Notamacropus eugenii: one gene and its partner. The protein of the gene in region 1 purifies or fractionates together with the protein of each later gene. This does not show direct contact. Links are inferred from orthologs where the notes say so. Each region holds a gene or a part of one and is shown in the gene's direction. Other genes may lie near its edges.

Evidence for each region.
Region 2: the proteins of TADA2A (region 1) and ZZZ3 purify together in Homo sapiens (affinity purification with mass spectrometry; 4 studies listed by BioGRID and IntAct, with this or other methods). This does not show direct contact. The link is inferred for Notamacropus eugenii from reciprocal best matches to the Homo sapiens genes TADA2A and ZZZ3.

Annotation. Positions count from the first base shown.
Region 1 is NC_092873.1:376,156,520-376,168,528, forward strand, and holds the start of TADA2A (transcriptional adapter 2-alpha), read left to right. Parts: upstream 1-6,913; 5' UTR 6,914-7,118; coding exon 7,119-7,121; intron 7,122-9,988; coding exon 9,989-10,103; intron 10,104-12,009. UniProt on the Homo sapiens protein: Component of the ATAC complex, a complex with histone acetyltransferase activity on histones H3 and H4. Required for the function of some acidic activation domains, which activate transcription from a distant site. Binds double-stranded DNA.
Region 2 is NC_092873.1:538,894,951-538,906,834, reverse strand, and holds the start of ZZZ3 (ZZ-type zinc finger-containing protein 3), read left to right. Parts: upstream 1-7,327; 5' UTR 7,328-7,471; intron 7,472-7,768; exon of another isoform or gene 7,769-8,110; intron 8,111-11,884.

The DNA of each region.
Region 1 (12,009 bases):
AACTGAGGGGAAAATGAGGGATGGCAAACAATGTTTGAACCTCATTCTCATTGGTATTAGTTCAAAGAAGGAAGAATACACACACACCCCTCTACACACACACACACACACACACACACTCAGTTGTGTACAGAAATGTAACTTACCCAATAGGGAAATAGGAAGGGGACAAAAAGAAAAAAGCAGGGGATGACAAAAAGGAAGACAGACTAAGGGAGGCAGTGATTAGAAGCAAAATAGACTTCTGAGGAGGGACAGGATAAAAAGAAAAAGGAGGATAAGAAACAGAAGATAATGGGATGAAGGGAAATAGATAGTAACCATAACTGTAAATGTGAATGGGATGAGCTCATCCATAAAATGGAAGCGGATGTAGAAGAATGGATAAGAAACCAGAATCTAATAATATGTTGTTTACAAGAGACACACCTGAAACAGAAAGACATACATAGTGTTAAAATAAAGGGCTGGAGCCTTCCCCCAATTTTTGGGCATCTACTTTGTTTTCATTTCTTAGTTGTCACAAAAAAACGCTCCTATAAATATTTTGAAGTATATGGGAACTTTTTTCTTATCAATGGGTCCCTTGATGTATAAGCTCAGAAATGGAATCTCTGGTTCAAATGCTATGGACATTTCAGTCACTCAATTTGCATAATTCCAAATAACTTTCCAAAATGGTTGTGCCATTTCACAACTTCACTAACAATGTATTAGAGTGCCTATTTTTCTACAATCCTTCCAACATTGACTATTGCCTTTTTGGATCATTTTTGCCAATTTGCAGGGTGTAAGATAAAATCTCAAGGTTGTTTTGATTTGCATTTCTCTTATTATTAGCAATTTAGAACATTTTTTCATGTGTCTGTGAATACTTTGCAGTACTTCTTTTGAAAAATGTTTGTTCGTATATTTTGATCATTTATCTTTGGGAGACTTCCTCAACAACTATGAACTCCATTCACTCCACTAAAGCCCCTAAAGCAGCATACCTCAACCCATATCACAACTCAAAACTACTCCCTTTCTAAGATCTAAAATTTTGAAATTCTTATTTTCTGATTACAGTCTGCTGCCTTTCATGTTCTAAACCTTCTCTTCATTCTTATTACGAGTTCTGGTCTTTTGGTTCCTCCCTTTTCTCTGTCACCTCTGGCTGGGTTCCACTTCTTACCCAGTCTTCCCCATTTGTCTATCTTTTCAACATCATTTTGTCCTACATTTCTGGATCCAAATTCATAGGATATTAACGATAGAGTTCTGATTCAGAAATTGAGTCAAGATAAGCAGTGTGAAATGGAGACTCACACTTCCACAGAGTTTCCTTCCACCTTTCAGTTAGAACAGAAATGATCCTTTTGGATGTGTTTAATTTTAAAATAAAAAATTTTTTATCATCTAGTCCAGTCCCTTGATTTTACAGATAAAGTAACTGAGGTTCATATAGGTTAAATGACTTACTTCACAGTTCTACAAGTAGAAAGTGGCAGAGTCTAGATTTGAAAAAGGCTCTTTCAACTCTGAGTCTAGTGTTATTTCCATTATGCCATGCCTCCTCTTCCCCTGGACCCTGTCCTTCCAACATTCCAGCTCCATTAATCCTCAACTGTGGGTAACTACCCCCATTTATTTTCTTCATCCTTATTCCCTAGTCAACAATGCTAGTAGGAAAAAAACCACAAAATCACTCTGAGTGGCTCTAGAACAAACTGTGCTAGGCTAACCTCAATTGAGTCCTCACTGCTGCCCAACAAGCCTTTGTTTATGAGCTTACTACTTTCCAGAAAAGTTGGGAGCAACATGGATTTGGCATTCAGAATCCTGAATCTGAATTCCACATCAAACACTTTCTAGCTGTGTGACCCTGGACAAGTCGATTAACCTCTTGAAACCTCATTTTCCTCAGCTGGAAAATGTGTATATTACTACTTGCACCATCTAATTATTCTTATTTTCAATTGATTTTTTAACATTACCTTTATCTCCAAATATATTCTTCCTTCTTTCCCTTTATGCAGTGAAGAGTAACTACACTTGTAGTTATAATAATTTACATTTGTGTAGAGTTTTAAGGTTTTACAAAGTGCTTTACAAATGTGATCTCATTTAATCCTCAGAACAATCCCAGGAAGTAGGTGCCATTATTATCCCTGTTTTACAGATAAGGAAACTGAAGCTATGAGATATTAATTAAGTAACCTGTTCAGGAACACGTAGCTAGCAAGTGTCTGAGGCTGGATTTGATCTCAGATGTTCCTGACTCTTTATCCACTTCAACCAAACTAAACCAGGTAAAACAAGATATGTGATGTTCCATACCCACTGCCCTCTGACTCTAAAAAAAGGGAGGTCATGCTACCTATTTCCCAGGATGACTGTAAAGACTTCTCCTACCTGAAAGTGCTATATAACTGTCTGACTAAATAAAACAAGTTTCATGTATGCCACTAGCATCCTCTGGGTTCAAATCTGACCTACCAAATGGAAGGTGTACGTCCATCCTGGAGCAGCCCAAAACAAATAAGTAACACAAATAGCTAGCTTTCCCTCCTTTCAGGAGTATCACCATCACCATTAGTATCTCATTATCTTTGGTACACCTATGTTAGCCTCCCCTGGCTGATAGTGCCTACTGAGCTCACAGCAATCACCTAGGTCCCGCAATGCTTCCATGTAGTTTATGTCTCCAATGTCTTTTTTCATTTGCCATTGTGAAGTAGCACATAATCCCAGAGATGCCTGGAGTAGGGGCAAATAAGAAGGAGAGGGGGAATGAGGATATTCTCAAATTGTTTAAAATCTAGCTGAGAGGATAAATGCTGCCTTCTCTTTGTCTTCATCTGCCCCAGGGAACTGATGGTACTGTAATAGTAAGCACCCCAACATACACAGGGGGACCTGCTATCACAGGTTCTTAGATCAGCATTTATAAAAGGAAAGGCAACTTTTGAGGGGTTAAAAATCACTTTAATCAAGCACATGTATCATTCAGTTAGTTCAGGGGAAAAGTCAGCACCCTGAACTTCAGAGAAAATACAGAGAAATCAAAGATAACAGACATGGCTTCCTCTGTCTGTCCATAATCAATACACACATTACTATTCTACAAACAGGTCCAACTGTCTGACCATAGTTATGTGTGTGTTCGTCCTTCATTGCCAAAGAAAACCATAGTTACCAGAGAAGGAAGCACCAACATCTGGGTTTTCCAAGCCAGGGGGCTTCTTAGTGGCTTCCGAGAGTCCTCCTCTGGCCAAACAAACACTTCCAGTAGGTAAGCCCCAAAGTAAAAGCTCACCCTCGGAGCAGTTATACACTTCTCAGAACCAGAGGGCATGACCCTCTGACCCAGTGCCTCAACAGAAAAAACAAAAGGTACTTGGGACCCTCCTACAAATCAGCTTAAGTTTCCCTCAATGGGCAGACCTATCAATGTGTGAGGAAGATATTCTTTAATCACATTTTTCAATCAGAAGCACTTTTAGCAAAACAAAAACAGCAAAAGATTCTACTGCTTGGCCTTACAGGTAACTACTCTGTAAGTCCAAGCACTGACTGCCTAGCAAACAATCCAAAGGAGAAGGTGGCACAATGGTCAGAATGCTGGACCTAGAGTCAGGGAGACCCAAGTTCAAATCTGACCTTAGTGACTAGTTGTGTGATCCTGAGCAAGTCACTTAATCTTTGCTTGCCTCAGTTTCCTCAACTGTGCAATGGGGATAACAGCAGCACTTATCTCCAAGGGTGGTTGTGATGATCAAATGAGATATTTATAAAGCTCTTAGCAAACTGCCTGGCCCACAGTAGGTGTGCTACTATGCTTCTTTTCCTTCCTTTCTCTTGGCATGGCATACTGGTCCACTTTAATTTTCTTGTTCAATGACCAGTACTTTACATTTATTCGTATTTTCCTATTCTTCTCCTGTACTGCTTTAGGTAAAGCATATGGACTGCTAGACTTTCTAATGGTAACACTGCACAACAACTGCTGTCCCTTTCCTTCCCTCCCCAACAACTAATTCTTCCTTGAATAGCTAAACACATTACAGACACTATTTCCCAGAATTTCCTGCTATTTCACAGCCAGTGAGTGTCAAATGTCTGAGGTGACATTTGAACTCAGGTCCTCCTGACTCCTGCACTGGTGCTCTATCCACTGCACCACCTAGCTGCCCCAGTTAGTATAGTACTTGAACAGGTAAAAGCACTTGATGAATGTTTCTTGACAGATTGCTCTACAAGACTGATATCCTTTTCTGACTTCCTCCATGATGTTTTTTATGCTACTTCCTGTATACAAGTCATCTTTGGTAATTAACATAAGCCATCTTAATCATCAGGTCGGCTACATCTTTCTTCATTTTCCTTTGAGGGGTCTATCAGTTTGATTTTTTCTGTGATTTCTGTGTTCCAGAATTGACTGCCATATGGCACTGAGAGGAGAATATATATATTTTTTAATTAATTAATTTATTTAATTTTTAACATTCATTTTCACAAAATTTTGGGTTACAAATTTTCTCCCCTTTTGTCCCCTCCCCCCCCAAACCCAAGCATTCTAATTGCCCCTGTGACCAATCTACTCTTTCTTCTATCATCCCTCTCTGCCCTTGTCTCCATCTTCTCTTTTGTCCTGTAGGGCCAGATAGCTTTCTTTACCCCTTTACCTGTATTTCTTATTTCCTAGTGGTAAGAACATTACAGTTGATCCTAACACTTTGAGTTCCAACTTCTTTACCTCCCTCCCTCTCCACCCCTTCCCTTTGGAAGGCAAGCAATTCAATATAGGCCAAATCTGTGTAGTTTTGCAAATGATTTCCATACTAGTTGTGTTGTATAGGACTAACTATATTTCCCTCCATCCTATCCTGTCCCCCATTACTTCTATTCTCTTTTGATCCTATCCCTCCCCATGAGTGTCGACCTCGAATTGCATTCTTCTCCCCATGCCCTCCCTTCTATCATCCCCCCCACCCTGCTTGTCCCCTTGTCCCCCACTTTCCTGTATTGTGAGATAGGTTTTCCTACCAAAATGAGTGTGCATTTTATTCTTTCCTTTAGTGGAATGTGATGAGAGTAGACTTCATGTTTTTCTCTCACCTCTCCTCTTTATCCCTCCACTAATGAGTCTTTTGCTTGTGAGAGGAGAATATTGTTAAAAAAGAATGGATCAGCTCTTAGTAAACATCTAATTAAGGAAGAACTACTATACACGGAGAGCCATAAACTTGACTCAGTATGTATGTACAATAGAAAAAAAAAATTTTTTAAGGGAGTGAATAAATTAGTGACATAAAGAGCTAGTCTGAATGCCATAGCGTCAAGAATCCTAAATTTTAGTCAAGAAGACTTGGGTTCTAATCCTGTATCTGACATCTGTGACCTGGGACGTTCTCCTCTTTCAGCTTCAATTCCCTTATTTATAAAATGATTTCCTTGAGTCAGGTGATGCCTTTCCAGCTCTAAATTCTCTGAACTATAAATAACTAATTAAAATTGGGAGAGCCCTATCTTTAGGGATTCCAAGGAGGGCAATTACTTTCTCCCACATCCCAACCCTTTTAAGGCTTCTATTAGTAATCAGAACACTGGTAACCCCCAATTGTTGATCATTTTAAGGACCAACTATTTCCAATGGGAAAGATGATATATTTATTATCCTTGGTTTAGAGACGAAACCACCGAGGTCCGGAGAGGGTAAATAAATGACCCAGGACTACAGAAAGTGCGCTTTGGAAGGGACCTAGGAGCCCGCCCAGGTGCGCCCAAGGTCACAAAGCTGTCAGCCAGCAGGACGGAAGCGCTTAGCACAGCTCCTAGCACCCACGAGGCGCTTAACCAACGGAATCCAAGCACACCTGGAGCTCCCCTCAAGGACTTCTAGTTTAGACCTCTGGATTGGACTTTCCTTGGTCTCCCCAGCGTCTCTCTTCCTCTGGAAATTGCGTGAATACATTTTGTACTGCCCTGAGCCCAGGATAACGTAACCTCCTTTCGGAACGGGGCTGCTCCAAACCAAAGTAACCCACGCGTTAAGGGCCTCCTGAGCGCAGGGCGCTGCCCCAAGCACCGGCAACACAAAGAGACAGTCCCGCCGCTCAAGGGGCGGCTTCACCCCAAGGGGAGAGACCACCCGCAAGCGAGGAGGACCAGACGAACCGGAAATAGCCAAGGGAAGGGCGATGAAGATGGATTTAGAAGATTCCACAGAAAGTCTTAACGTAAGATTAGAGAGGGCGGGGAAGGGCCCTGGCGGATGGCAGGACTTTGGCTGAGACTTTAAGAAAGTCAGGGAAGCCACAAGACGGAGACAAGAAAGAGCACACCTGGCACGAGAGACAAGACGTGAATAATAGCCCGGAGTGTGGAGGTGGAATATCCTGTCATCATAGCCTTAGAGCCTGGCACAGCGCTTGCCCGACTCACAGGAGGTGCTTAGTAAATGCGTAGGGGCTGCACGTGGCAAGCGATTTCTGCCCGATCTGTAGGGTGAGCCTCATTAAAAGCACCTGCACACCGGGTAGTCACTCCAGCAGCGCGCCCAAGGCCGCGGAAGTGCGCATGCTCGGCGGAGCAGCGCGGGGAGGGGCCATAGGCGCGCGCGCATTCCTCGCCTGCACACGCCTGCGTGCGCGCGAACGGCTCTGGACTTCCTGGCCCTGGAGGAGGGGGAAGCGGCGAGGTGAGGTGGCCGGCCGCGGGGCCGAGGGGCAGGGGGTGGGGCGCGGGGGCCCGGAGGCGGGGGCAGGAGGGGAGGGAGCTGGCGTTCCCAGGCGAGCCGGCGCGCGGGGGCCCGGGCCGAGGCTGGCGTCAAGGCCGACGTAGAGGAGTGATCGGGGAGGCACGCGTGGTCACGCTGCCGCCGCGCCGGCGGGAGTGAAGCGGAGGGGGGCGGGGCAGATGGGCGCGAGCTAGCGCGTGAGGCCTGGGGGAACGGCGCACGTGACCCCGCTGACCTCCGCCGGCAGCCCCTCCCCTCTGCAGCCTTGCCCCTGCGGCTCCCCCCCGCGGCCTCAGCTTTTCCATCTGCGGAGTGGGGGCGGCCATTCTGCCTGGACCCCGTAGCAGAGCGAGGGAAAAACACCTGTACTGCTCCAATTCTGTGGTCTTTTAAGTTTATGGTAATAACTGTACGATGCGTTATGGTTTGTAAAAATGTTTTACCAGTGATTTCTCATTGGATACAGCAACGCCGGGAGGTGATGAGGAAACTGAGGCAAACAGGTTAAGTGACTTGTCCAGGGTCTCATAGCTAGGACATGTTGGAGGCAGGTTGGCGCTCTGGCTGCTGTGCTACCTGGCTGCTACAGTAGCAATTACTAACCCTTTATTAGAGGGGGTAGATTTCAGGCACCAGGAACCAGATCTTCCCGAGTTCAAATCCAGCCTCAGACACTTAGGAGTTGTGTGACCCTAGGCGAGTCACTTAACCACTGTCTGCCTCAGTTTCCTCATCTGTAAAATGAGCAGGAGAAGGAAATGGTAAACCACTTCACTATCTTTGCCAAGAAAACCCCAAGCAAGGTCATGGAAAGTGTGATGCAACCAAAAGAAATGTGGATTTTAAGGTTTGTGAAGTACTTTTCAGTTTTACGTATATTGTACAACAATATAGCCCTTCTGGGTATGTGGTGCACATGAGGAAACTGAGGCTTGGGAATGGTAAGTGAATTGTCCATGGTCACCCAGCTAGCATGTGTCTTGGGTAGGATATGAACTCATTTCTGGAATTCCAAGTCTGGTGCTCTAGTCACACTTCTCAGGAATCCGGTTGAATTTGATTAAATGTTTCCTTGAACCTGACCATTTTCCTGCCTTTTCATGGCCTCAAGTAGGGCAGAGGTGTCAAACATGCTGCCTGCTAGACTCCTGAATTGCCCGAACCAGATAGTTAACAAAAGTACAGTAAAATATAGATGTTATCATGTACTGTTTAGTGGACCTCTCACTTTTAATTTGACTCCCACTGACAATGGTGGAAAGAGCACTGAATTTGATATTAGAGGACTAGGGTTTGAATCTCAGTTCTGCTCACTGTCTATGACCTTTCCCACTTTTGGAGGGGCTTGATCTTGTGATTTGTGGCTTGAGGAGTTGGAGTTAGAGGATGCCCTCTAAAGTCCCTTCCAGCTGAATCCTGTGCTCTCCTGTGGAGTTGTTACGTCATGTCTCTGGTCCTTCATGAGTAAGAGTCCCTCTGATATCTGGCCACCTGGGGTGATGGAGAGCTGCTGCCTCTCTGATTTCTCTGCTGCAGTAGTTAACACATCTTACTCTGCTCATCCCTTGATCTGAGGTCCTTTACCTTTCTTGTGTTCTGGAATCCTTTTGCAGAATTTGGTGAAGTCTTCTCAGAATCATGTTTTTAAATGCACAAAATAAGTTACATAGGATTACAAAGGAAACCAATGATATTGGAATACAATTTATCAATTAAAAAATAAAGCTCCAGACTCCAGGTTAAGAACTCTGGATATAGAAGGAGCAGAATCCAAACCAGATAGTTCTCCATTTAGTTGTTGGGTTGGTTGATAATCAGTCAATCAGTTTGTGCACATATTTACTTTTGAAGACCCACCCCTCCTGGAAATCGATTAAATCAGTTCAATCAATATACGTAATTACATGCCTGTGCCACAGATGCATGTATTACATGCTTCCTATGTTAGGAGGTGAAGATATAAGGCTAAAAAACAAACAAACAAAAATTTTTGCCCTCAAGGATATTACATTCTATTGTAGACATTTACACAGATAAGTAAATACTCTTAATTGGGGGTGGGACAAGGAGCAGTGACCAATGAAATAAGGAGAATGAGGAAAGGTTTCATGTAGACGGGTACCCTGAGCTGAATCTTGAAGGAAGCACAAGATCTAAGTGTGGGAGGTAGGAAATAAATACATTCCAAGAGAAAGGGTTACAGCCTAGGTAAAGACTCAGAGGTGGGAGATGATTAGTACATGGCTAGTCCTATAAAGAGGATATAAGCTAGTCTGGCTGGAATAGAGGGTGTATGAAGGAGTACAATGTGATCAAAATATGAAAGAGCAGACTGGGACCCATGTTGTTCGATTCTGGAGAGAAGTTTGCATCTCTCTTCTCCTTTTCTCTGATGGATTGCTCCCCAATTAGTTCTTTTTCGGTGGAATTATATGGGTGTTGTCTGTATTTACTGGTGAATAATTCCCTTCCACTGAGAAAACATCAGGGTCAACCAAATGATTCTTGGAGTCTAAAAGCCAGTCCACTGTCAGTGGAAGGTAATGTCTGGCTTTTGCTTCCATTTTCACCTTCAAAGAACCAAGGTGATAACAGCTCACACTTACCTAGCATTTTACAGAATGAGTTTTTCTCAGAACAACCCAGTGAGTCTAGTGAAAACAATTATTACTCCCATTGATAGGTGCTGAAACTGAGGCTGAGAGAGATGTCAATCAAATCAACTAACATTTATTAGGGCAGTTAGGCAATGCAGTAGATAAAACATTGGCCTTGGAATCAGGAAGACTATCCTCATGGGTTTAAATCTGGCCTCAGATACCTGTGTGACCCTAGGCAAGTTACTTAATCCTGTTTGCTTCAGGTTCCTCATCTATAAAATGAGCTAGAAAAGGAAATGGCAAACCATTTCCAGTATCTGTGCCAAGAAAACCTCAAAAGGGGTCACAAAGAGTCAGAAATGACTAAACAACATTTATTAAGCACCTGCTCTATGTCAGGTACTAGGTGCTCAGAATACAAAACCAAAAATCATATAGTTCTTATACTAAAGGATTTGTATTCTATCAGGGAGACAATGTGACCAGATATAAGTACACGTAAAATAAATACAGTGACTTGCTAATATTCATTGGCAGAACTGGAACTGGAGCCTAGGTCTTCTGGTTCTTTAAGTCCTGTGCTCATTCCATTTCCCTCCAGCACTTTGTCATCCTTGCCATTCTTTCCCTCACCTGTGTATCCTTCATTGACTTTGTCTATTTCTAGGGATCCACACATTCCTGGGGATTTGCTGGACAGTGCTGGGATCAGGCTTTGAGGAAGACAATCAAAGCTGTAACCTCTCTCAGTGTGGGAATGGACAGATTGGGCTCCTTCAGTAGTAAGTATGACCTCAGGGGACTCTCGGTGGCATGTAGGTCACACAGATGATGGCAGGGGTGGAAACCTTGTGACTCTACTTGTAAAGGCCTTTTGTGATTCTGAAACTGCTTGAAATGCATCAAACTAGATTAAAATCATACAGGTTTCTGTTTATTGCCCAGTAAGGCAGTGATAAGACACCCTTATTCTGGAATTAGTAGAAAATGATACAGAAAAGTGCCAGAGTATGAAGCTAGGATGGTCATCCAAGAGCTTGATTTTTTTTTTCCCCTTTTTTCTTTCTTATAGCAATTTTCTTATTTTTATTGGTGTCTTTTGTTTTTACATCACATTTATTTCTGAAACTATTCTTCCCCCACCTCCATCCAATTAATCAATCCTTGTAACAAATATTTTAAAAGAATGGAAAAAACCATGAATCAGTAAAACCAACTAATGTTTCAATACAGACAGTACATGCACCATTCCATATCCATAGTACCCCACCTTGGAAATGAAGGGACAAAGGTGCACTTTCTCAAGTCTTCTCTATAGCCAACCTTGGTCATTAGAATTATGCAGTATTCATTTCTTTTTGTTCCTGTTTCTAGTTCTTAGGTGTGTTTTTTTAAAAAAAATCTTTCTAAACCTTGATTTAAAAATATATCTATATTTTTATTTTCCCCTAATTAAATGTAAAGACAGTTTTTAACATTCATCTTTTAAATATTTTGACTTCGAAATTCTCTCCCTACTTTCCTTTCCTCCCCCTTCCTGAGATAGTAAGCAATTTGATATAGGTTATATATGTGCAATCATGCAAAACATATTTCCATATTAATCATGTTATAAAAGAAGACCAAAAAAACCCCACAAAAAAATGAAGAAAATGAAAAATAAAATGCTTTGATCTGTATTCAGACTCCATCAGTCTTTTCTCTAGATGTGGATGGGATTTTTCATCATGAGTTCTTTGAAATTGTCTTAGATCGTTGCATTTCTGAGAAGAGCTAAGGCATTCAGTCGATCATCATACAGTATTCCTTTTACTGTGTGCAGTGTTCTCCTGGTTCTGCTCATTGCACTTTGCATTATTTCCTGTAAGTCTTGATTTTTAAAAAGCAATGGGATTTCTTTGATGATTATGAAGAATGTAGAGAAGGATGGGAAGATTTGTAGGACTTGATACAGAGTGAAGTTTGCAAAATCAGAAAAACAGTATATACTCGGGGACTGCAGCAATATAAATGGAAACATCAACAGCAAAGAAAATGAGCTCTGTATAATTATGAGGCTCATACTTTTTTCCTCAAAGAAGAGGTGTGAAAATATGCCTCCTTTCCTTTGTTGCTGAGTTAGAGTATGGAGCATTTTATATGCTGTCATTTAGTACTTGGTTTGTGTATTGGTTATTTTTACTGAACTGATTTTTTTCTTTTTTGTTGTCTCTTTGTCTTTTGAAGGAGTGGCTTGTTGTGAGGAGGAGGGAAGAGGAATATGTTTTGAAATTAAGGCAATATTTAAAAAAGAGAGCAATAAAATTTTAATAACAGATTCTCTCAAGACACAGCTTGAGAGATGTGCTCATCACTAGTGATTGTAACATGCCAACTGAAGGCATAAGAAAATGCCCTTTTTAGGTGGAATTTATTTTTTATAGAATATAATCCTAATAACAACAGACAACAATATAAATCATTATTTTAAGGATTTGCTTTTATCAGTATGGGTTCATCTTCCACTGGTGTAGATCCCAATTCTTCCATGTCTTGAAATATAGTTTGATGAGTTTCTGTGGTTAAAAACAACTTATCAGCTACTGGTCAGCCCTTTAGCAAGTAGACTCTTTGAATTTCACTAGATTGGTCCTCACATCACAGCTATACGGTCTAGTACTTCTGTCTTGGAAGACCTTTTCAGAGATG
Region 2 (11,884 bases), about 160 Mb from region 1:
TCCTTCCTGCTCCCCCTCATTAATTCCTCTGGTAGTCTTGACCTTTTGTTATTTTAAATGAAGGTTATTATTTTTTTCTAGGTCAAAATATTCTTTTCATAATTTAATCAGAATGGCATTGAATAAGTAGATTAGTTTAGGTAGAATTGTCATTTTTATCATGCTGGCTATGTCCACCCATGAACAATGAATATTTTTCCAGTTATTTAAATCTGACTTTATGTGTATAAAAAGTGATTTTTAAAAAATTATGTTGTTATACTTCCTGGGTTTGTCTTGACAGGTATACTCCCAGGTAATTTATGCTGTCTACACTTACTTTAAATGGACTATATCTTTTTTAAATTTTTTATTAGTTTTCAGTGTTCTACAATCACTTCCATATAACTTGGATTTTTGTTCCCCTCTCTCCCCACTCCATACAATTTTATATAGGTTCTGTACATACATTCCTATTAAATACATTTTCACCTTAATCATGTTGAATAGAAGATTTAAAATGAATGGGAGAAACCATAAAACAAAACAAAACACAATACAAAAGAAAATGGTCTGCTACATTCTGTGATCAAATTCCATAGTTCTTTCTCTGGATGTGGAAGGCATTTTGCCTTAAGAGAACACTGGAAATTTTTAAAGTTCTTACATTGCAATGAAGTATTAAGTCTACCAGAAAAATTCCTCACACACTGTGGTTGCTGCTGTGTACAAAGTTCTCCTGGTTCTGCTCCTTTCACTCAGCATCAGATCATATAAGTCTTTCCAGGCCTCTCTGAAGTCTTCCTGTTCATCATTTTTTATAGCACAATAATATTCCATTACATTCATATACCACAATTTATTCAGTCATTCCTCAATTGATGGGCATCCTCTTGATTTCCAGTTTTGGGCCACCACAAAGAGTGCTGTTATAAATATTTTTGTACATGTGGGACCCTTTCCCATTTTTATGATCTCTTGGGGATACAGTCCTGGAAGTGATATTGCTGGGTCAAAGGGTATGCAGATTTTTGTAGCCCTTTGGGCATAGTTCCAAATTGCTCTCCAGAATGGTTGGATCAGCTCACAGCTCCACCAACAATGAATTAGTGTTCCAACTCTCCTACATCTTCTCCAACATTTATCATCATCCTGTTTTGTCATGTTAGCTAATCTGATAGGTGTGATGTGGTATCTCAGAGTTGTTTTGATTTGCTTCTCTCTAATTAATAGCAATTTAGAGTATTTTTTTCATATGACTATAGATAGCTTTAATTTCTTCCTCTGAAAACTGCCTGTTCATATCCTTTGACCATTTATCAATTGGGGTGGGCCATCTCTTATTATCTCTTCTTGCAGGGTTTTGTTGGTGATCTATAGAAATGTTGACAATTTATGTGAGTTTATTTTATATCCTGCTACTTTGCAAAAATTATTGTTTCAACTAGCTTTTTAGTTGAATCTCTATGACAGGGATGGGGAACCTGCAGCCTCAAGGCCACATATGGCCCTCTAAGTCCTCAAGTGTGGCCCTTTGACTGAATCCACACTTCACAGAACAAATCCCCCTTGATAAAAAGATTTGTTCTGCAAAACTTGGAGTCAGTGAAAAGGTCATACCCAAAGACTCAGAGGGCCACATGTGGCCTTGAGGCCACAGGTTCCCCACCCCTACTCTAGGATTTTCCAAGTATATCCTCTTATCTTTTGCCAAAAGAGATAGTTTTATTACTTCATTGCCCATTTGGAGTCCTTCAATTTATTTTTCTTCTCATCATTATTGCTAGAATTTTGATACAATATTGAGTAATATTGGTGATAATGGGCATCTTTATTTTACCCCTGATCCTACTGGGAAGGCTTCTAGCTTATTTCTGTTACAAATAATGCTTGCTGATGATGTCAGATAGATGCTTCTTCTCATTTTATGGAAAAACCCATTTAAATCTATAGACTTTCAAGTGTTTTTAATAGGTACGAGTGTTGGAGTTTGTCAAAAGCTTTTTTTCTGCGTCTACTGATATAATCACATGATCTTTGTTACTTTTGTTATTGCTATAATCCATTATGTTAATAGTTTTCCTTAGATTAAATCATTCCTGCATTCTTGTTATCAATTCCACTAGGTCATATTGTGTAATCTTTGGGACATACTGTATTTTCCTAGCTCAGGGAGGGGGAACCTGCCTTGAGGTCATAACTAGTGTTTTATTTAGGATTTTTGCTTCCATATTTACTAGTGAAATTGGCCTTCCATTTTCTTTCTCGATTTTTGTTCTTGGTATCGCTGCCATATTTATTTCCTAAAGGGAGTTTGGGAGGACTCCTTTACTAATTTTTTCAAATAAAATATTGGAGTTAGTTGATCTCTAAATGCTTGGTAGAATTTCCTCATAAATATATCTAGTCTTGATGTTTTTTTCTTAGGAAGCTCATTTATGTCCTATTCAGGTTCTTTTTCTAAAAGTTTTATTTAATATACTATTTTCTCTTCTGTTCATCTGGGCAGTTCATATTTCTTGCAAGTATTCTTCCATTTCATTTAAATTCATAAAATCCACTTAATTCACAATTAAAATCACTTAAATTCACAATAAATTTATTGTCATATAATTGGGCAAAAAACTCCTAATAATTGTTTTGATTGTATCTTCATTTGTGGTATATTCACTCCTTCCATTTTTGATACTAGTGATTTGATTTTCTTTACTTTTAAAAATCATATTAACCAATGATTTATCTATTTTATTGTTTTTTCCCCCATCAAACCAACTCCTAGCTTTGTTTGTTAATTCAATGATCTTCTTATATTCAGTTCCTTACATCTCATCTTTAATTTTTAGAATTTCCAGTTTGGTATTTAATCGGGGATTTTAAATTTCTTCTTTTTCTTGATTTTAAAAGTGTATACCCAATTCATTGTTCTCTTCTCTCTATTTTACTGATGCAAACATTTAGAGATATACATTTTCTACTGATTACAGCTTTTGTGGCATCCCACAGATATTGGTACATTGTCTCATTATTATCATTCTCTTTAATAACATTATTATTTCTATGACTTGTTCTTTAACCTACTCACTCTTTGAGATTAGGTAATTTAGTCTCCATCTTCCCAGAATCCTCTCCCTGGACTCCATTTCTGTGTTTTGTCCTCTCTATAGTCTCTACTAGGCTTCTCTCCCCCTCTGAAAAATAAATTTCTTCACTGAATATATATCCCAATATAATGCTACTCAGGGTCTCAGGTATTTGTACTCAGGTTTGTATATCACTAGTAATTTGCTAGTAGCATTATTATCAAATATTTGAAGCATTTAATATTATTAATGCCTTTATCAGATGGAACATAACATTTTCATTCTCTTATTGAACAACTCAAAAGAGCTGAATCAGCATATCTGATCACAAAGAGAACTTTGTCATAAGTTTAAAAATTATCAAAGGAGCCTACTTGACAAAATAAATCATGTTTGCCCCACTTTTTATAGATGAAATAATAGCATTTGTGTAGTACTTTACATTTTGCAAATACATTTACATATGTTATCTGTAGGTATCGTAGGTATCTCTATTTCATAGAACAGAAAGCTGAGACTTGAAATAAGATGCTAATGATCACAGAGTTATTAAATGTTGCAAGGGTAGCAGTCCAGGGCTCCCTTAGGCTGTGAGTTTTTAAACTGTAGCAATTGATTGGCACAAATCTATTTGTGTAGTAAGGAGTTGGAGGAAATAGTTACAGTTTGTGGTTGAAAATCAAATACAATGTATAAAGGAGCAAAAAGTATGAAATTACTTCTATGTAACAATCAACACAAGCTTTGCTACTTCTGTTAACAAAGAGGATGCATCGGGACACAGTTTATCCTTGTCTTATCAGAGATAGGATGATAGGGTTACAAGTTTCATTAAGTGTGTCTGCTGCAAAGCTGAAGGAGACAACCACAGGGGGCCTGAGCTCCAAGACTCCTGCTTCTGTCTCACTTTGGGTTAACACCTTGGCCTTTGAGAGGCCTTCATCTAGTGCCATTAGTAAATCAACTTGAACATCTTCTGGAAACAAAAGGGGAAATTTATTAAGTGCCTACTATGTGCCAGGCACCGTGCTAAGTGCTTCACAACAACTTGGAGAGGTAGGTGCTGTCATGGTCTCCATTTTTTAGCTGTTCAGTTGTTTCAGTCACGACCCCTTTTGGGGCTTTCTTGCCAGAGATCCTGGAGTAGTTTGCCATTTCCCTCTCCAGCTCATTTTACAGATGAGGAAACTGAGGCAAACAGGGTGAAGTGATTTACCAGGAGTCACCCAGCTCGAACACCAGCTCCAGTGCTCTGTGCCTGTGGGCCTGCCTAGGTAGGGGCCTCATAAGGAATTGGCCTTTTGTGACTCCACGTCCAGGTTCTGTGCACTGCTGTGTCCCCTTCCTGACTCCAGGTTCTGTGTTGTGTGCACCATGGCGCCCCCTTGAGGCCTCAAATTAGTCTTTCCTGACTCCGGGTCCTGGATGCCCAAGTCCCTGTAACGGAGGTACCAGTGTACAAAACTATCCTTTGTCTGTGAATGGGACCATATCAGTTCCATCTCTGTTCTTCTCTCATATTTTATTTTATCTTATTTTTGCATGACAGTCACTCCCAGCAACCCTCCCCTCTGCCCAGTGAGACTGCGAGTAACAGTTGGTTCAATACCTGTGACCCAGCATCTCTCTAGTTAAAGGACAGAAGAGTTTTCCACCCATAGTTTTCTGGAGTCAATATTAGACACTGCAGATAATCTGAATCCTGCCCATGTTGCTTTCATTCATGTTCCTGCAGTCATTGGGTTCTGCTTTATTGATTCTGACTCATTTCATGTAATTCTTCCCATGGCTCTTTCTCCAGATTCCTCATATCCCCAATTTTGCTCATTTCTTGCAGCATCATCCATTTATTGGAAGTTGTTAGGTCGAGCAGTGGGTGGAGTGCTGAGCCTGGATTCAATAATAATCCTAAAGGGTGCCTTGTAGTGTTTGGCACATAGTAGGCACTATATGTTAGCTATCACCATCATCATTATTAACATTATTATTTTCCCCCAGTCAGCTGGCCCCCTCTTTTCAAGGCCTTGCTGCTATCAAGGAGCAAATACTAGGACTATTTGAGTATGGGTGGATCCTTGATTTCCAGCACCTGCTTCCCTGGGGTATATGGAATGATGGCTCAGACATGAAGAGCTGAATCACTTTTCTCTAGACTGCTTGGACCAGATCCCAACTCCACCTTCAGTGCATTAGTTCACTTGTGGACTCTTCAACATTTGCTATTTCGGGGATTTTTTATCCTTCCCAATTGGATCTGTATATAGTGACCATGTAGGGTTATTGTACTTTGTGGTTTTTTTTTTTTTATTAGTGATTTGTAGTATTGTCCATCTCTTTTGATCCCATAGTGATTTAGGAATTCAATTCAAGATTCATTGAACCTGAACTGAGAACAGGTTCATGATAGGGCCTGGGGCTATGGAGACAAGGAACAATACTTATCTTCAAGAAGCTTACCTTCGGCTGGAGAAAACTCTGTAAATGCCACCCCCACCTCCCGACATACACTGGAAATACAAATGGCTTCTTTTTTGGAGGCGGGGGGAGGGAGCATCAACACTTAGACAAAAATCATTAAACTTCTCACATAAGGAGCAGCATTAGGGGAAAGGGGGGTGGTGCCCCAGAGAATGAAGGTGAGAACTGAGAGCATTCCAGACCCCATGGCAAGTTGGCCTATCAGATCATAAACAATTAGGAAGCACCTCCTATGTGTCAAGCACTGTGCTTTTTACATTCCAATGCAATTCTTAATAAAATTTCCCCACCAGACCACTAGTAAAATTCTAGCGTCAGTGATTTTACTGGTGGCAAAATCTTTTTAATTTTCTGCACCTCAAATTCACAATTTTTTTTTTTACTTTTTTGCTGGCTTTTCTCCTGTTTGGGTAAGAATTCTTCCCTACCCTCTGGTCTAAAAGGGAACACTGAATCCTTTCCATGTTCCCAGTTCTGCTGAATAGACAACTGTTCCCATGGACATTCAGTAACCCTCTCAACTAAGCAAAATATGAGAAAACATTTCAACTTGGCAGTAATTTTTTTTAGTAGTATTAAAGACACCTACCCACATCTCCACTTACTCACATGCCTGAAAAAAAACAAACTTCCAAACATCCAATACAAATCCCAGCGACACAGTGCTCGGCTACTTTGGGAAGGCTCCATTTCTGGAATCCTTGATTGGCTTTGGGGAGGGTGTGTTTGAATTTGTTCCTAGCGTAAGGCGCTGATCTTCGGTTTTAGGGAACGAGTTCTCAAGCTGGGGGATATTAATTCGTTTTTTAAAAAATTCTGTTAACTGTTCCTTACTGTCAATGATTTCCTTTATAATCCAAAGTATTTTATTTTATGCATTTAAACAACATTCTGAAGAGAGGACCAGGGGCTTCACCAACCAGCCTGTCGGGGAGAGGGGGGGCGGGATGTGAGCCCTGCTCTGGGTCCTGGGCATAGAGGCTGGGCCCACTCGTAGTACCTGCTGTCAAAGCAATACTGCGGAGTCCGGCCCCCAGTAAAGTAGACCCATTTGTGCGGTGTTTGGGCCAACTTGCTGGTCTGCAAAGCTCAGTTCGGAGGTTCTTCTGGGTTCTAAAGGCAGCGGTGCGGGTGCCGGGCTCGCGGGGCCGGAGCTGTCCACCGAGGCAGAGGCTGCTCCAGCTCTCCAGGTGATTACAAAGTAGCTGACAGGGAGGAAATGAGCGAGCCTGGGAAGTTACTTTGTATCTATTTCCCAGGCTGTTTCCCAGGTGACAGCGGCCAAGCTCTTCTCGGGGATCTTAAGCGATCGGAGGGGGAGCTGTTTTCATCCTGGGCAGGCATTTGAAAGGTGTTCTGGACCCAGTGCTACGAGGTGCTCTCTAAATGCCCTGCGGTAGAACGTAAGCTGCCCGAGGGGGGGTGAGGGCTCTTTTCTTTGGCATCCCCAATGCCAAAGTCACTTAATTTAAGGATAGGACTGAGTCTCTACCTGTGATTTTCATGGTCTTGGCAACAGCGCCGGGAACACAGCGGGCGCCTACTAAGATCTAGCCGACTGGACCCGCAGCGACAGCTGCTTCCCGTTATTATCATGATTATAAATTATTATGACCGCCATTATTAATCAGGTGAGGCTGGCGGGGAGGGCCGGGATTCGAACCCGCGGAGCCAGGAGGGGGGAAGGGAAAAGAGAAGAGGGGGGAGGAGGAGGAGAAGGGAGGGGCCGGAAGAAGGCGAGGGGGCGGCCGCGGGAAGTGGCAGAAGCGGGAGGCGGGCCCACTTGGAAGCGCCGCCGGGCGGGCGGGCGGGCTGGCGCACAGGGGCCGCGGGGAGGCGGCCGGCCGAGCTTCCGGGGGCGGCGGGGGTGGCCTCCCTCTCGGCCACGGGCCGCCCGCCGGCCGCTCTCTCCGGTCGGCTCGGCGGCGCCCGAGGTGAGCCCCGGGGCCGCTGGGGGCACGTGGCGGGCGGGGGAGTGCGAGGAAGGGAGGGGGAGGGGCTGCGGGACTCGGATTCTGCGGCGCGTTGGATCCCGGGAGGGGAGGGCGGAGGAGAGTGAAGAGGGGAGGGGGCCACGGCTGTGAGTGGCGATGCCCCCACGTGGGGCGGGGTGCGCGCGCACAAGCTTGCGCCGCCGCCGCCGCGCTCGGGGGCGGGGCGCCGGGCGCGCTCTCGGAGCTGGCTGGGCTGCGGCCCACGTGACACGCACGCGGGTCGCTGACGCTCACGTGACCGGTCTGGAGCCCGGTCGGTTTGACGTGAAACTTGGGGGTTGAAGTTCTCCTAAGCCTCCGCGCGGCCGAGTCGCGCGCATCCTGCCCCACTTCCCTCCCCAGACCCCGGCCGCGCGGCCCAGCCCCCGTCGCTGCCTCCCCCGTGGCGAGCAGTTCCCGTTCCGAAGACGTGCTCAGGAGGCCATGTTGGCCCCGACCCGGCCTCGCGAGACTCCCCGGGACTAGGCGGCCTCGCGAGACTGCGCGGCTCTCGCGGGAGGGGGCCGGCCGAAAGTGGGGCCCGGGACGGCGGCGCTGTTGGGGCTCCCGGGTCGGGGGAGCCTAGACTGCTCGGAGCAGGCAAGTGGCCGGGGTGCGGGTGGGGCCCTGGGCACGGCGACACCTCCCCGAGGGACTCCCCGCCCCCGCGGCGCCCTTTACCTGCGAGGGGGGGTAGCTCCTCCCACGTGCCCAGGAGCGCCAGTGGGCGCGGGTCCGAGGGGCTGCCTGCCTTTAGGTGGCGCCTGCTGGGTGCTGAGGTTGCCGGGGGCCGCGCGTGTCATGCCCTCGGAGTGTTGTCACCGCGTCCGGATGGAGAAACGGAGGCAGGCGGTCCGTCAGGGTCTGGGCCGGGAGCGCGTTTGGGTGCCCGTCGCCTGGGCGCGCTGGCAGGGCTGGCACGTGTTGGAGAAGGAACTTTTTCAAATTGGGGAACGCCCCGTGTTTGGGGTCCGCGCCCAGACCAATGGGACCTTGCCTTCTTTCATCCAGAAATGTAAGGTGAGGCCGCAGCTCCTCCTCATCCCTAGCCCTGCCCCCTGCCAACTGGCCCGGATCTGGTCTAGGGTGGGCACCCAGCTAACCAGGGAGACCCGATCCTGAGCCATAGATCCACCTCAGGAGTCTCTCGATCACTTTCAATTTGGCAACTCCTAATCATTTCTAAAGTGAAGAGCCGTTTCAAATGGTCTAATCCAATGTGGCTATTTGGGAATTTTAGGAAGTCTCAAGCTAGCCTGGCCTCCCCTCCCTTCTTCTTTCCTTTGTCTTTACATGTGTCTGAAGAATACAGTTCTTTTGTGGCTTGAAGCTTGCCCTTTCGGAGGAGAGCATGAATCTGTCTAGAAGCTTTTGAGTTCATCAGGTTCTTTAAAGTTGTTGGAAAAGTTGTAAAGTGTTGGCTGTATGTGTGTTCACCTGTGTAGGGACGTAGAACTATAGTTCTTAGCCATCATCGTGTCGTGAGTGCTCTTTTGGGAGGTTCCTCCCGAGTGGATATGCTTTTCTGAGACTTTGTATCCCAGACTGACATCTGAGGAAAGATAAGAGGTGTGGGAAACGTTGTAGAAACATTGGCCCCCGGTTACAGAGTAACTTAGGGATGGCGGCAGAGAGTAGAAGAGTCTGGTGGGAATTTGGAGGTGTGATTTCTGAAGCTGACTCGGCTTACCAGAAGAGATCCAGCTTCAGAAACCAAAATTAGAATATGCATGAGGTGATTTTTCTCCTTTTTTCCTAATGTTATAGAGATTTGTTTGCAAAAACTCCCCAACACTTCTGCAAAAAGTGACTAACTTGAGAGTTGTCCAAGTTTCGTGTAGGTTGTGTCCTGAAGCTGAACTTTTTTTTTTTTTAGAGACAATGCTAAATGTGAAACTTAGTTATAGATTAGCTTCTGGGAATGCCATTCAACCTTAATAGGCTTCCTCTGGTCTAGATGGACATGTATTTCACACCCTGTCAGAACTCTTTCAAGAAACATGCTCCTTTCCTTCAGAAGCTTTGCTTAGACATAATGCTGTTGGCTCAGGAGGAAGAATTTAGCCTGCTAAAGGTCACTGACTTCTTTTAGCAGAGTTATTTAAAAAAGATTATTTTTTTAAGTGTACTGTTGGAAGGGAAGGAGGAGCAGTGTGGTTTGTCTGGATTGAATTTCCATTGCTGTTTCCTATTGAAAGGACGCTTGGTGACTTGAAAAGATCGCTTGCTAGGCTGGACATTTATCTTACTGAGTTCTCCTGGGTCATTTTTCCAGAAGTTTTAAACCTCTTGGACTGGAAGACAAAGAACTGTATAAAAGTGGATAATCTGTATGGACTCTGTCCTGTTTTCTCCCCAGACTGAAAGCTGTGGTCATCGTTTTCCCTGATCTTCTACTTATGTCACTGCTACCAGCCAGTAGGTGAGGATCCTGCACTCTTCTCTAGGGCTTGCAGAGGTAGAGGGGGTTATGGTATCTTAGGGTTTAGAGGTAGAAGGAACCTCTGAGATGACTCCATTTATTCCAACCATGCATTTTTTGTTTGCAGAAACTGAGGCCTGGTGACTTATCCAAGGTCATAAAGTAACCGAGCCAGATTCTAGCCAGCTTTCTTGACTCCAGTGCTGTTTTTGTTATGGAAAGAATGAAGATTTTCTCTCCTCTTGTGAGCTTGAAGGAATTGGTCTCTTCTTACCTCTAAAGTTTGGAGGTGGCTGCTTGTAGGTGGTTCATTGCCACTCTCAGGGTCTCTGGATGTCACCTCTGTAGGAGGAGTGGAGGGAGACTAGCAGGGCTGGTTCAGTGCAGGTGTGAGACTCGAATTTAATCTGGTCGCCTTCCTTGCCAGGAAGTTAACCACTTGTGAAAATGTTTTCCAAAGAAGTTGAAAAAAGTGGGACTCAGCAGAATTAAAATGAATGTATTACTTCCTCAGCCTTAGAGTCAGGCAGCTGACTTAGAGAGGGTTTAACTCCCAGTGTCACAAGTATTACAGAAGTGATGGGTAGCTGGAAACCCAAGGACCTGTGCTGTGGTTCTCTTGTAAAAGATGCTCACTTGTCTTGAGTTTGATTTCCTATTGTAAGTGCTTACATATTCAGAGGTATTTTGTACTTTTTAAAGAGAATTTTAAAAAATTCTAACCACTTTTTTCTTGAAGTCAAATGAACCAGCTTTTATTAAGTACCTACTATGTGCCAGGCACTGAACTTAAGTGCTTCAGACACAAAGAAAGACAAAATAAGTCCGTTCTCAAGGAGTTCACAGTCTCATGGGTAAGAACGTACAAACAGCCACATACAAACAAGACAGACACACATGATCAATTGGAGATCATCTCAGAGGGAAGGCACAGAGATTAAGGAGGGCTGGCAGTGGTTTCTTGGAGAAGGCAGAGACTCAGGAAGCCAGGACAGGTTGCTGGGAGAGGGAACTCCAGTTCTGGGTCCCTCACCCTGAGGTCTTAGAAACCTCAGTGACTCTCAGAGCCCAGCCTGAGCGTGCTCTTCCACCCTTGAAATGACCTTTTACATATTTTGTATGAAAATGGCTGATGGACCTCTCCCTTGGCATTGGGCATGTCGTGCTGGAGTTGTTCTCTTGTTGGAGGAGCAGCCAGGAGGCAAGTGGCAGAGTATGTGGAAGGGGCAAGGCAGAGGCTTTTGTCTTTGATCTTGGAGGTGATGGGAGCCACTGGAGTTTATTGAGTGAGGGGGGAGGGTGACAGGGTCAGGCCTGTGCTTCATGGAAAACGGACTGGATCGGGGAGAGACTTTTTGACTTTTTGCCTGCTTGAGGCAGCTCTGTGGCCCTGTGACCTGGAGTCAAGGACACTTGAGCTTAAATCTGGCCTCTGACCTGGGCCTTAGTTTCCTCATCTGTAAAATGAGGATAATAAAAAATCACCTGCCTCCCAGGATTGATGTAAGGATTAAATGAGAGCTGTATAAAGCATGTAGCACAGTGTCTGTATATAAGAGGTCCTTTCCCCTTCCCTACTGAAGAAAGTCCAGAGGTGAGGTGATGTCGTTGTCAAAGGAGAGGTGGAATTCACACGGTTTGACCACTGGTGGCTGTGGGAGATGAATAAAGCATTTTCTAAATGCTTTGTGCAAAGAATTGTGCTAAGAATATAAATAGAAAAGTCAGGTCCTGCTTTCCAGGAGTGAGAATTCACATGTGGGAGCTACCACATAGGGAAGGTTTTAGCTGCAAATCAGGTTGGTTCTTAGAGTGCAGTGGCAAAGTGGGCATTGGTGCTGTATCTTTAATGCCATCTCTGGTGTTGGTCAGGGTCAGGGACTTTCTTTTCTGGGTCTGTATATCTGTGGCTATTGCACTTGTGGGAGCAGTTTGCTGGGCTGAGTCTCCAC